Linked DNA regions of Saccharomyces cerevisiae S288C. The protein of the gene in region 1 binds, or shares a complex with, the protein of each later gene. Each region holds a gene or a part of one and is shown on either strand. Other genes may lie near its edges. A codon is read from its position in the direction of its gene.

The links. The genes of interacting proteins can lie anywhere in the genome.
Region 2: the proteins of HSE1 (region 1) and VPS27 are in contact, whole or in part, in a crystal structure (PDB 2PJW), measured with the Saccharomyces cerevisiae proteins. Residues at the interface, in NP_011861.1 of Saccharomyces cerevisiae: Val292 (codon at 3,789), Phe293 (codon at 3,786), Gln295 (codon at 3,780), Lys296 (codon at 3,777), Ile299 (codon at 3,768), Asp300 (codon at 3,765), Leu302 (codon at 3,759), His303 (codon at 3,756), Leu306 (codon at 3,747), Asn307 (codon at 3,744), Ala309 (codon at 3,738), Ser310 (codon at 3,735), Ser315 (codon at 3,720), Asn316 (codon at 3,717), Leu319 (codon at 3,708), Tyr328 (codon at 3,681), Val331 (codon at 3,672), Thr332 (codon at 3,669), Arg335 (codon at 3,660), Val338 (codon at 3,651), Met341 (codon at 3,642), Leu342 (codon at 3,639), Tyr345 (codon at 3,630), Ala346 (codon at 3,627), Glu348 (codon at 3,621), Lys349 (codon at 3,618), Met352 (codon at 3,609), Leu353 (codon at 3,606), Leu355 (codon at 3,600), Arg356 (codon at 3,597); in NP_014403.3 of Saccharomyces cerevisiae: Asp349 (codon at 1,325), Leu350 (codon at 1,322), Lys355 (codon at 1,307), Ile358 (codon at 1,298), Tyr359 (codon at 1,295), Phe361 (codon at 1,289), Ala362 (codon at 1,286), Val365 (codon at 1,277), Glu366 (codon at 1,274), Met368 (codon at 1,268), Lys369 (codon at 1,265), Ser370 (codon at 1,262), Arg371 (codon at 1,259), Asn374 (codon at 1,250), Leu377 (codon at 1,241), Glu378 (codon at 1,238), Gln383 (codon at 1,223), Ala386 (codon at 1,214), Val389 (codon at 1,205), Phe390 (codon at 1,202), Lys393 (codon at 1,193), Leu396 (codon at 1,184), Asn397 (codon at 1,181), Ala399 (codon at 1,175), Leu400 (codon at 1,172), Lys403 (codon at 1,163), Ala404 (codon at 1,160), Lys406 (codon at 1,154), Tyr407 (codon at 1,151), Thr409 (codon at 1,145).

Annotation. Positions count from the first base shown.
Region 1 is NC_001140.6:100,839-107,273, reverse strand, and holds HSE1 (ESCRT-0 subunit protein HSE1), read right to left. Parts: upstream 4,663-6,435; coding exon 3,304-4,662; downstream 1-3,303. Other genes in the region: oxysterol-binding protein related protein OSH7, read right to left, coding at 1-1,219; 60S ribosomal protein eL14 RPL14B, read right to left, coding at 2,183-2,470, 2,869-2,997; sphingosine N-acyltransferase LAG1, read left to right, coding at 5,391-6,435. UniProt on the Saccharomyces cerevisiae protein: Component of the ESCRT-0 complex which is the sorting receptor for ubiquitinated cargo proteins at the multivesicular body (MVB) and recruits ESCRT-I to the MVB outer membrane.
Region 2 is NC_001146.8:635,305-639,354, reverse strand, and holds VPS27 (ESCRT-0 subunit protein VPS27), read right to left. Parts: upstream 2,370-4,050; coding exon 501-2,369; downstream 1-500. Other genes in the region: ATG3 (Atg3p), read left to right, coding at 1-173; SWM2 (Swm2p), read right to left, coding at 2,972-3,412. UniProt on the Saccharomyces cerevisiae protein: Component of the ESCRT-0 complex which is the sorting receptor for ubiquitinated cargo proteins at the multivesicular body (MVB) and recruits ESCRT-I to the MVB outer membrane.

The DNA of each region.
Region 1 (6,435 bases):
TCCTGATCTGTTCTTCATGCTTGTCGGTCCCTTCAGGGATGTGCTTGTAAATATAATAATCTAAATCCTCACCTGGCTCTGCCCTTCTAAATAGTTTTGAATGAAATTCAACGCCGTCTTCGGCCCTCTTTTTGGCCAGCTCTCTTTGGCGGTTTTCTATCTGAAACTTTTCTTCTGTAGCTACTTCATGGTCACGTACAGCCAGCGCATCCGTAACCTTCTTCCAAAGCCTTCTCGATTCGTATTCTCCCTGTTCCTCCAATGGGCGGACTTTAGGAGCTAGAGGAAAATGCTGATGAGTATCGAAGAGAACAGTCTTTTTAGAGCTTTTTTCCCTCAAATCTTTGATATACATAATATCATTCCACTTACCACTAATTTGGTAGTATTCCTTACCATCGTAATCCTTAATTGTACCTTCAATTGCATCATAGGTACCAGAAATAAAGCCCTTTGTTTTGAACTCAATATCCACTTGATACTTAGGACCCATAATGACCATGTGATCTCCCAATTCAATCCTCATCTTGCCAAACAGAATTCCCCTTGCGTAAACATTTGGTTGCGATAGAGTATATTTCTCTGGTTTACCATTTGCATCCTTGATATCAAGGAATTGCAATACAGTTAACCCCTCCATCATTGCAGCACTTGAGTTTCCTAAAAATTTCGATTTTGGCACAACAACTCCATCAACTCTAATATTCGATTCTGGAATCATGTAAAAATACGCAGATTCAGGAGGATGGTGACTCGTTTGTTCTGCAATGTAAAAGGCTTGTTGCTTGTTAGGCAAATCCCAATAAGCTGTAAAGTGTTCTCCAAGAATGGGATTTAGGGGCTTCTTCACAGCCCTGGGCCCAATGTGCCAACCTGCTAGGTACCATGCTACCACTTTAACGAACCTTTGCAGCCCGTCTTTATTGGAGTGTGCTTCTAAAAGAACATCTGGGAATTGTAATTGATTAGTGATTCTCTCCAACATCGATTTTTTTTCCAGAATAAATGTCGGAAGTGTGATTCTAGATAAATCACAACCTGGCTTCAGCTGGGAAATAATATTTAATAGAATACTTTGCCCAGATTCATCATTCTCATCGATATCATCCGTGTCTGCTCCGCTTGGTTTGGAATTTGCAGCATTGGATGCAATGCCGTTAATTGAGCTATGAGAACTGTTTGTTAAAGAAGGTATATTCTTTAGTTTATTGAGAGCCATTCTTTGTTTCTAATTTACTGGTTAGTTTCCTATTTCTAAATGAAAGAAGGAGGAATCTTTCCATTTTGAATATATCACATCCCTTCTTTGTTGACGATTTCAGAAAATATACTTTCATCCTTTAGAATTCTGGATTTGCGAGTGACCTCGGAAAAATTAGTACGCACGAGCGAATTAACATTCCTATAATATACTGATACATATTTCGAATTTGATTTAGGTAATCATTGGTGCATTACATTCCTTACCTTGAATGTACAGCTCTAATTACACACAAGTTAAAAAGTAGATAAGAAGAACTCCAACAATTACACATCCACAAAACGATTTAGTATAATAAGTAGGATGGTAATCACATGACTAATAATTCTTTTAATTTTAATTAATTTAATAAAATTAAAATAATATATATACTAAATTGTTTATTAAAAATGATTAAACATTGGGTTTTGTGTTCCGAACTTAGAAAATTGGTTAAGACATTATCTTAAAAACGCGAAAAATAAAAAAATGATTATTGATGTTTATTTCACAAGCACTAAGGGAGAGTTTTGTCAACAAAGAATTTTATCGCTTCCTCAAGCCCAAATCTCTTGCCGATCTAAAGGAATAATCGTAAGAAAGAATTTACGGAGAATATATCGTCATAGCAACCTGAGGGTGTATCACCACCTCTCTACTATTATCTAGATGCTTTTTTGTTCCTTGCGTCGAATGGTAGTTGGCGCGAGTAATATAGCTGGTGAGGAAACTCTCATGGTAAAGTGTATTTATAATGGAGCCGCAAAGAATATCCCTTATAAAACATCACTATATTGAGAGGAACAGGGAATGTGGCCAGAACAAAATGAAATGATATGTTGTTTACATAAATGGTTAAGATTAATATATATAATATGCATTGACGGAACGCAAAATTGCTTTCAGTACTTACCTATGGATTTTAGAATTATTCTTCTTTTTTTAAGCCTTAGCCAAAGCCTTCTTGACAGTGTATCTCTTTTGCTTTCTTAAAACCATAACTTGGAATCTTTCAAAGTCAGTCAAAGCAGCACGTCTTTCACGTTGAGCAATCTTCTTAGCCCAAGATGAAGCAGCCCACTTTTCGCAAACACCAGCAGCAGCCCACTTCTTAGAAACGGTAGCAGTTCTAGCACCTCTTGGTAGAGCAAAGGTCAATGGAGTTAAGACAACTTGACCCAAGTTGATGGCTTGACGTGGGACACCAGCTTTTGGACCATCAATCAAAACCTATAGTAATTATAACGAATAATTTAAAAAATTATTCATAAAAGTTGTTAGTAAATTGAAATACTTTGAAAACAGGAAAAGATTATTTGGCAATTGAGGAGGTATGGCTACATGTGCTGAAGTTATCTTCTTAAGTATGGGAGTTATTAACTGCCAGGGAAGGAGTTTGCCAGTAACAAAATATGTAGAAATTTCACTGTTGTTTATGCAAAAAAAGAATAGAAACATCTCCGGCCCTCTGTCCCATTGCATATTTCAGCATCTACTCATTGTTTAACATGTTTCACTATTCAGGCATGAATCAGGAAGTCGTTGGCGGTCCCTGAACATACGGGGACTTTCTCTTCCTTACAATTTCCTCCTCAGTTTGTCCACGGTGGGTTTTAGGTTCAACATACCTTCTTTTGGTCGATAATTTCAACGATAGCAGCCAATTTACCTGCGGATTGACCCTTTTTGATCAAAACGACACGGCCGACTTCGACTAATCTCCAGTTGGAGGCTTTAACAATAGAATCAGTGGACATTTTTGGTTTATTTGCGCGTTTATTTCCTGAAGTTACTTTAAATGCTTCACACTAATAAATGCTTGTAGCCTCTCTTCTTTATTATTAATTTAGAATGTTAGGATACCCTTTTCTGAAGATTGCGAAAATTGGAATATCGAACAATGGTCGGGGAGTCTCAAGAAAAAAAAGCAAGAAAGTTTTACTGTGTGGTGTAAAATAACAAAAAATGTGTGGGCTGAAAACCGTCTTTAAAGGTACAAAAGTTGAATAAAATGCTCTTCGTAAAAATTAAAGATATGTAAAGGTGCTATATAAGTTGAAGGGCTATTGTTCATAACCAGGTGGTGGTTGGCTAACAACTGAATATCCAAGATCATAACCGTATTGTGGGGTATTATTTGCGCTATTCGTAGGATGTTGGATTGGCAAATTAGAAGGGTAAGGTGAGTACTCATTGCTTTGGTAACTCTGCCTCTGAGGTGGCATTACTGGAGTATTATTAGCATGAGTCATTCCTGCGTAGAGTGCAGGGCCTGGAACTGGTGGTGAGATATGTGCGTTAGCTGCACGATCCATTAGTTGATTATATGAGCGTTCTGCATTTGCTAAGACTTGACGCAGGGATAACATGTCTTCTTTTTCTTTAGCATATTTACCTAACATTCTCGTAACTTGAGGTCTCAAAGGCGTTACAGATCCGTACATATCTCCAATATGAGGATCTTGCAAAACTTCATTTGAATTTCCCGTTTTAGAAGCTGCATTAAGCGAATTATGAAGTTGATCTATGGTAGTTTTTTGAGAGAATACTATGGCTTCCTTATTTTTTTCCTTCTCAATTTCTTCTTTCGATGGCTCAACAATCGGTGTTACATAATTTAATGGAAATATACCCATATTTCCTCGAAGAGCTCCCTTCCACCAATCTCTATATACTTGTTCCAGCACTGTAATAACATCGCCCTTCCTAAAGGACAATTCATCCGGTTCGTTTGTGGTTAAGTCATATAGAGCCCGAACTCTTCTCACAACGGTTTGTGCCGGTATTTTGTGAGCAGGAGCTTGATTCTGCTGCTGATGCTGCTGCTGTTGCTGCGGAAGGACTTCGGCACTTTCTTTTTCCTGTTCTTGTAGCTTTTTTTGCTTTTCGTACTCAAACAAAGACATTTTTAGTGCTTTTTGTAATTCCTCATCATCTGAGTTGTCTGCCTGGGTACTCATGTTATGCTTCTCTGGTACATTAGGCTGTACCAAATATGGAGCCTTTCTTTTAATTTTGTCATATAGATCTCCCATGGCGCGTAATGATGGGTCATCCTTGAATGAATCAGACAGTTGCTTGACAACATCAGTCACCGCTTTTTTTAGAGTAATGTGTACAGAATGGCTCTCGATGAGCGCATATAACAAAGAGGTAAAATTTTTTGAACTAATTTCCTGTCTTAAGCGGGAACCACAATTTTCTGCCAAAGATACCGTCAAAGAGAGGGTTCTTAAGATCACGTTAGCATCCTGTTGTTCTAGCCTCTTCTCTATAAGAGACATAACCTCTTGTCCATTATCTTCGGGATCTTCCTTCACCAAATCGCAAACATCTAAAATGTATTGCCAGTTATCACTTCTCAACTTGGGATCTGTTGCCTTCAACAGTGCATTCCTTATTTTAATCGCAGATGATGACATTTTTGTCAACGGTTTCCTTAGATAGATTTACGCATTGCCTCTGGCATGGCCCCTATATTTAACAGTTAGAATCCATTGCGTTTCATTTATGTAATTCGAATTTCTTAACTAATCACTAATAACGGTAAATGAGGTTAACCATTAGAATAATGTATATAATTACGTACAAAGGCTACCGAAGTTCTGCGGCAGTAATGTAGGGTTTAGCTTTTGAATCAATCTTAGAGCCTGCTATCTTCCTGCACTTGCTGATTCCATAAATATAAACACCTTTCGGCTAGACCGACAAAGGTCGTAGTCGTTTTTCCTTTAGGGTATTATGACCAGGGACACCCCAGTCCGTCAAGACTAATATCGATAGTATATTACAGGTAAATAGAGATCCCTTTTATAGAGAATTTAACGCTTTAAACTTACCTAATGCGTCATCTTCCATTTGAAATCCTTCTTGACCGAGGGCAGCCCAGGGGTAGTGAAAAACGATGAAAAAATTCCATTTTTTTAGCGGGAAAAGCAAATTGCAGCATCAACATTTTACGCGCTATCACTTGACAAACAAGGCAAGGAAAACTGCAGCCCTGTACTAAGAAGGTCAAGATATTTGCCAAACGATTTCGTAAGGTTGTCTCAATTGATCTGACTGCTTGTCTATCTAAAGTGGCAAGGTATATTAGACAGTGTTGAGAGTGAACTCCAAGATACAGAGAAACTGAAGAAATAACGACAACATGACATCAGCTACGGACAAATCTATCGATAGGTTAGTTGTTAATGCAAAAACAAGAAGACGAAACTCTTCCGTGGGTAAAATTGATTTAGGTGATACAGTTCCTGGCTTTGCAGCCATGCCTGAAAGTGCTGCCTCTAAAAATGAGGCCAAAAAAAGGATGAAAGCCTTGACTGGTGACTCTAAAAAGGATAGTGACCTACTGTGGAAGGTTTGGTTTTCATATAGAGAAATGAATTACCGTCATAGTTGGTTGACACCATTCTTCATACTTGTATGCGTGTATAGCGCGTACTTTTTATCTGGGAATAGAACAGAATCAAACCCGCTGCACATGTTCGTAGCCATATCATATCAAGTTGATGGCACAGACTCATATGCAAAAGGTATCAAAGATTTGAGTTTTGTGTTTTTCTACATGATTTTCTTCACATTTTTACGTGAGTTTTTGATGGATGTTGTAATTCGACCATTCACGGTATACCTAAATGTTACTTCCGAGCATCGTCAAAAGCGTATGCTAGAACAAATGTATGCCATATTTTATTGCGGAGTTTCAGGGCCCTTTGGTCTTTATATTATGTACCATAGTGATTTGTGGTTGTTCAAGACAAAACCAATGTACAGAACATATCCTGTTATAACCAATCCGTTCTTGTTTAAGATATTTTACTTGGGTCAAGCGGCATTTTGGGCGCAACAGGCTTGTGTTCTTGTTCTACAATTAGAAAAGCCAAGAAAGGATTACAAGGAATTGGTTTTTCATCACATTGTGACATTATTATTAATTTGGTCATCATATGTTTTCCATTTTACCAAAATGGGATTGGCTATCTATATTACTATGGATGTGTCAGATTTTTTCCTTTCTTTGTCTAAGACATTAAACTATCTGAATTCTGTATTTACTCCCTTTGTGTTCGGCTTGTTCGTGTTCTTTTGGATCTATCTGCGCCATGTCGTGAATATCAGAATATTATGGTCAGTCTTAACAGAATTCCGTCATGAAGGTAATTATGTGTTGAATTTTGCCACACAACAATACA
Region 2 (4,050 bases), on another chromosome or scaffold:
GAAGGAAAGAGCTGCAGGAAGAACAAGAGCTGGACGGTGTCGGAGACTGGGAGGATTTACAAGACGATATTGATGATTCGTTACGGGTAGACCAATACTTGATTGTTTTCTTAAAGTTTATTACTAGTGTTACACCGAGTATACAACATGACTATACCATGGAAGGTTGGTAAAAATTTGTGTTTTTTCACTATTAGCTGCAAGCCAGGTGGTCAAAAAACAGGATAAACAAGAAGATAGGAATTAACTATAAATATGCAGGAACAAGTTTCTTCCTTAAAACCACTTTCTTAAAATGGTCCTTCCTTTGTCTATATTGATACTTTTTTTTTTGACGGTTTCAATGTTAATACTGACATAAATTATGAATATTCACCTTAAAAACTAGTTTAATGACAGAAATATGTATAAGTTGCGTAACAAGCAATTATATATATATGTATGTATATATTTATAAGCGCTAGGTTTCTTTTTACAAATACATAGAAAAGGCTACAATATTAAAGCTCTATTAGCAGTTCCTCTTGAGGACTAGGCGGCCTTTCCTCTTTGATCGGAATTTCAGAGGAACTTGCAGGAAGTGGTACAGTTGACTCCGGTTGGACGAATTTGCGTGCAGGAACAGTTGGAAAATCGTAACGTGTAATGCCTTGAGGCCGTTTATTTATTGAAGTTTCACCATTCTCTGTTTCTACTGGATACGGCCTTTCGCGGGATTCTTGTGTGGAGGATTCCTCATCTTGCACTGCCTGTGTTCCTTCATCTTCGGCCTCTTCTTTTGGATAAGGTGGGTCCGAAGGTGCAAGTTCAACGTGCGATTGAGGCTTTTGCTGTGCGTGTGGTGTCACATCGATGGTTTTCAAGTGATCAATATTAGTGGTAGGTGATGAATTTGCTTTTACCGATTGTTGGCGTGAGACATCCTGTTGTGGTTTGTATTGATGAGATGATAGTTGCTGGAGGGGAGGTGTTTGATAGCTTTCTGCTGGATTTTGCACATTTTCTGTTAGGTAATTGTACGGATCAGAAGGGACTTGTGGAAGTGTGTATTGCTGAGACAAATTGATGCTTTGTAGCTGTTGCTCCAATAATCTATCGTATATGTTCATAATTTCCGAAATCTTGCCGTTCATTTCTATCAAAGTATTGTATTTCTGAGCTTTATCATTTAAAGCATAATTCAACCTTGCTTTGGAAGCAAATACTCTTTGAGCCAAGTTTTGTAATTTAGAGTCTTCCAAAATTTCGTTCAAGGGCCTCGATTTCATTTTTTCGACAAGTGAAGCAAACATGTATATGCTGTCTTTCTCCTCATCAGATAAATCAACGGAATGGATAGGTTGAGGTTGAGGTGATGGCTGTTGGGGTTGCATCTGTCTAGAGGCTTTTTGACGCTCACTGCGTAGCTTCGCTTCTTCAGCTTCTCTCAAGCTTTCCTGAATAGCAGCTTTTAAATCAGGATCTTCTTCTTCTTCTATTTCTTGTCTCTTCACCTCATTCTTTGATTCTACAACGGGGACAATAGGCTCGCTACTAGCGCTATTTCTAGATTCTTTCAAGGAGAGTTCTATTGCTTTCCTTATCAGCTCTTCTTCATCCTCAGGAGTTGAGTAGTCCCTGTCCTTCTTTCTTTTATGGCGATGTTTTTTAGATTTTTTACTGTCGTCATGTCTCTTCAAATCGTAATCTTCAAAGCAGCTATCACATACTCTGACTGGCTCATATATACCCAAATCAGGTAAGGGTATACTATTTGATGAGTGTTCTTGGCAGAAAACTCCACCACAGGAACGACAGTGATGTTTCCTATTTAGTAGAGAAAACTTTTTGGAGCAAATCATACAAGCATCAGAATCAATCCAATCTGCGGGCGTCTTCGAGTCAAACATTGCAGTCGGAGAATTGGAAAGTGTTAGCTTTTCAGGGAATTTAATGCCACGAGAGATTAATTTATCATAAACTTTTGCCACATAGTTAAGTTGCGAATCATTTTTGAAGGCTACGTATAGTTCATATAATATGGTCTTTACCAGCTCAGAAAGTTCTTCGTTGCTATCTTCTCTTAAAATGACATGTTCCATGGTATCCATGAACTCTCTGGAACAAATTTCCTTAATAAAAGGCGTTCCACCATTTTTTACACATATATTGGTAAGCTTCCAGGAAGACAATTGGGTATTTGGATTATCGGCCGTATTGAGAATCCTTTTCTTTATACAACGCATAGAATCTTTGGGATTTACCCTTCTAGATCTTAACACATCTGAAATTTCCAACGCTATGGGGAGATCAAGGTCACCGTTGGGAATGCTCTCACTAGTGGCTTGTTCTATTAATGCGTCTAACTCACTTGGCGTGCTAACGGACATACTGTTCTTAGTTCTTTACTCACTACTCATTCACCTTAGCAAAAAAAAATCTTGATAATTTTACACCCTCTATTTTTAAATTCCCTCTGCTAATGATGATTATTTCAGGTATCATCGAAATTTTCAGAAAAGGAGGCCGAGCAAGATGATTCTGCTGCTCCGCAAGAAATAGCAGTAGCGTATGTATTACCAAAATCCAAAATCTTGTGAAGGTTACTTTATATAAGTGAGGCTCAAAGGACACCAGGCGTCTATAAATGTATACAAAGTAGCTGTTTTGACATATTACCAAAAAATCGGGAAAATACCTAGGTTGGTTAATGATGAACTCGAAAGAGCCTTAAGAAAAGTTGATTCAACAACATATGGTGTATGGTCGCTCCGAACAGTTTGCTTTTGTCTAGTACATAGTTACTGGTGAACTTTCCTGGATATGCGCGTGCTAACTAGAGCATTTTATGTTGATAATTAATTTAAATTGCATGATACAGATTACGAGACGAAAGATAGTCGATTATATATCTTTCAATCTTGGTTTAGTTTGGCAGCAAAAGCTAAAAGGTAGGCTCCGTGCATATTAGATGAGTGAACACACTTTAGGTTTATTCTTGTATGAAATCATTCACTTCGACCTCTTCCAAGATCAAATTCTCTAATGGATTACTTATGAGTTTACCAAATTCGTCAAATTCCAACCTGACTACATTCAAATTCTTAACATATGAGACATCAATCTCATCCTTAATGATATTATCAGCAGGCGGAGGATCCTTCAACTTTTTATATTCCTTGCCCTTCAAAACATACCACAGGTTAAGGCATCTTCTTATAATTTCCGGATTGACTGTCTTCGCACCTTCTTCGTTCCATTTATGGAAATTAGAACGACAAATTTTTAGAGCTCTAGACTTTAAATGTGCATTTCTTGCTATATTCTGAAAATATGGCTCCAATACTGCGGAGTATTCCTTCGGAATTCGATTCAAGTCCGTTAATCCGTCTAGTAAACCTTCTAAGTTAGAGTAATTGTATAAATCTATCATCCGAGGAGATCCTCTTCTCTTTGCTTATGCATTTAGTCTCCTTTGATTTCTCAAGTTTATAATTTTTTTCTTTTTTTCTCACTTTTTAATACCTTTTAATAGCCGCTATTTTTTTAATTTTAGTTAAGTTTTCTTCTAATTTTGAATATAAAAAGTCATCTTATAACTAGTACATTTTATATGAAGGAGTTTCTATAGGTTTTAAAGGTGTGCAAAAAAAAAAAACAGCGTTAAAAGGCTACGAGTAAAACCAGATTCTTGGAAGACTTTGCTTACATGTGAGCAATTGAGAAGAAAAGGCAGGGGGCATTAAACGTTACGGCTACGGTTCGTCCGCACTACTCACTACATCGCCTACCGTAGCATACCTACGCTCACCCATTGCCATACCCACAGTAAATATGTAAATCGTTTATTAAAATGTTTAAGCCCTTGTTTGGTAGTATATTTAGAATCCAACTAGATGATATTGCAATTATTTAATCTTTTTGTTTTTAAGTAACATCGCGCACAGGCACTTTTTTTTTCCTTCAAATCTTTTATTGTATTAAAAATTTTCAAGTTGATTTGCGATGTATTTGTGAGATGAGATCATTACAGAAAATCTTAATCAAGTGAAGAATTTACAGCGCCAATAT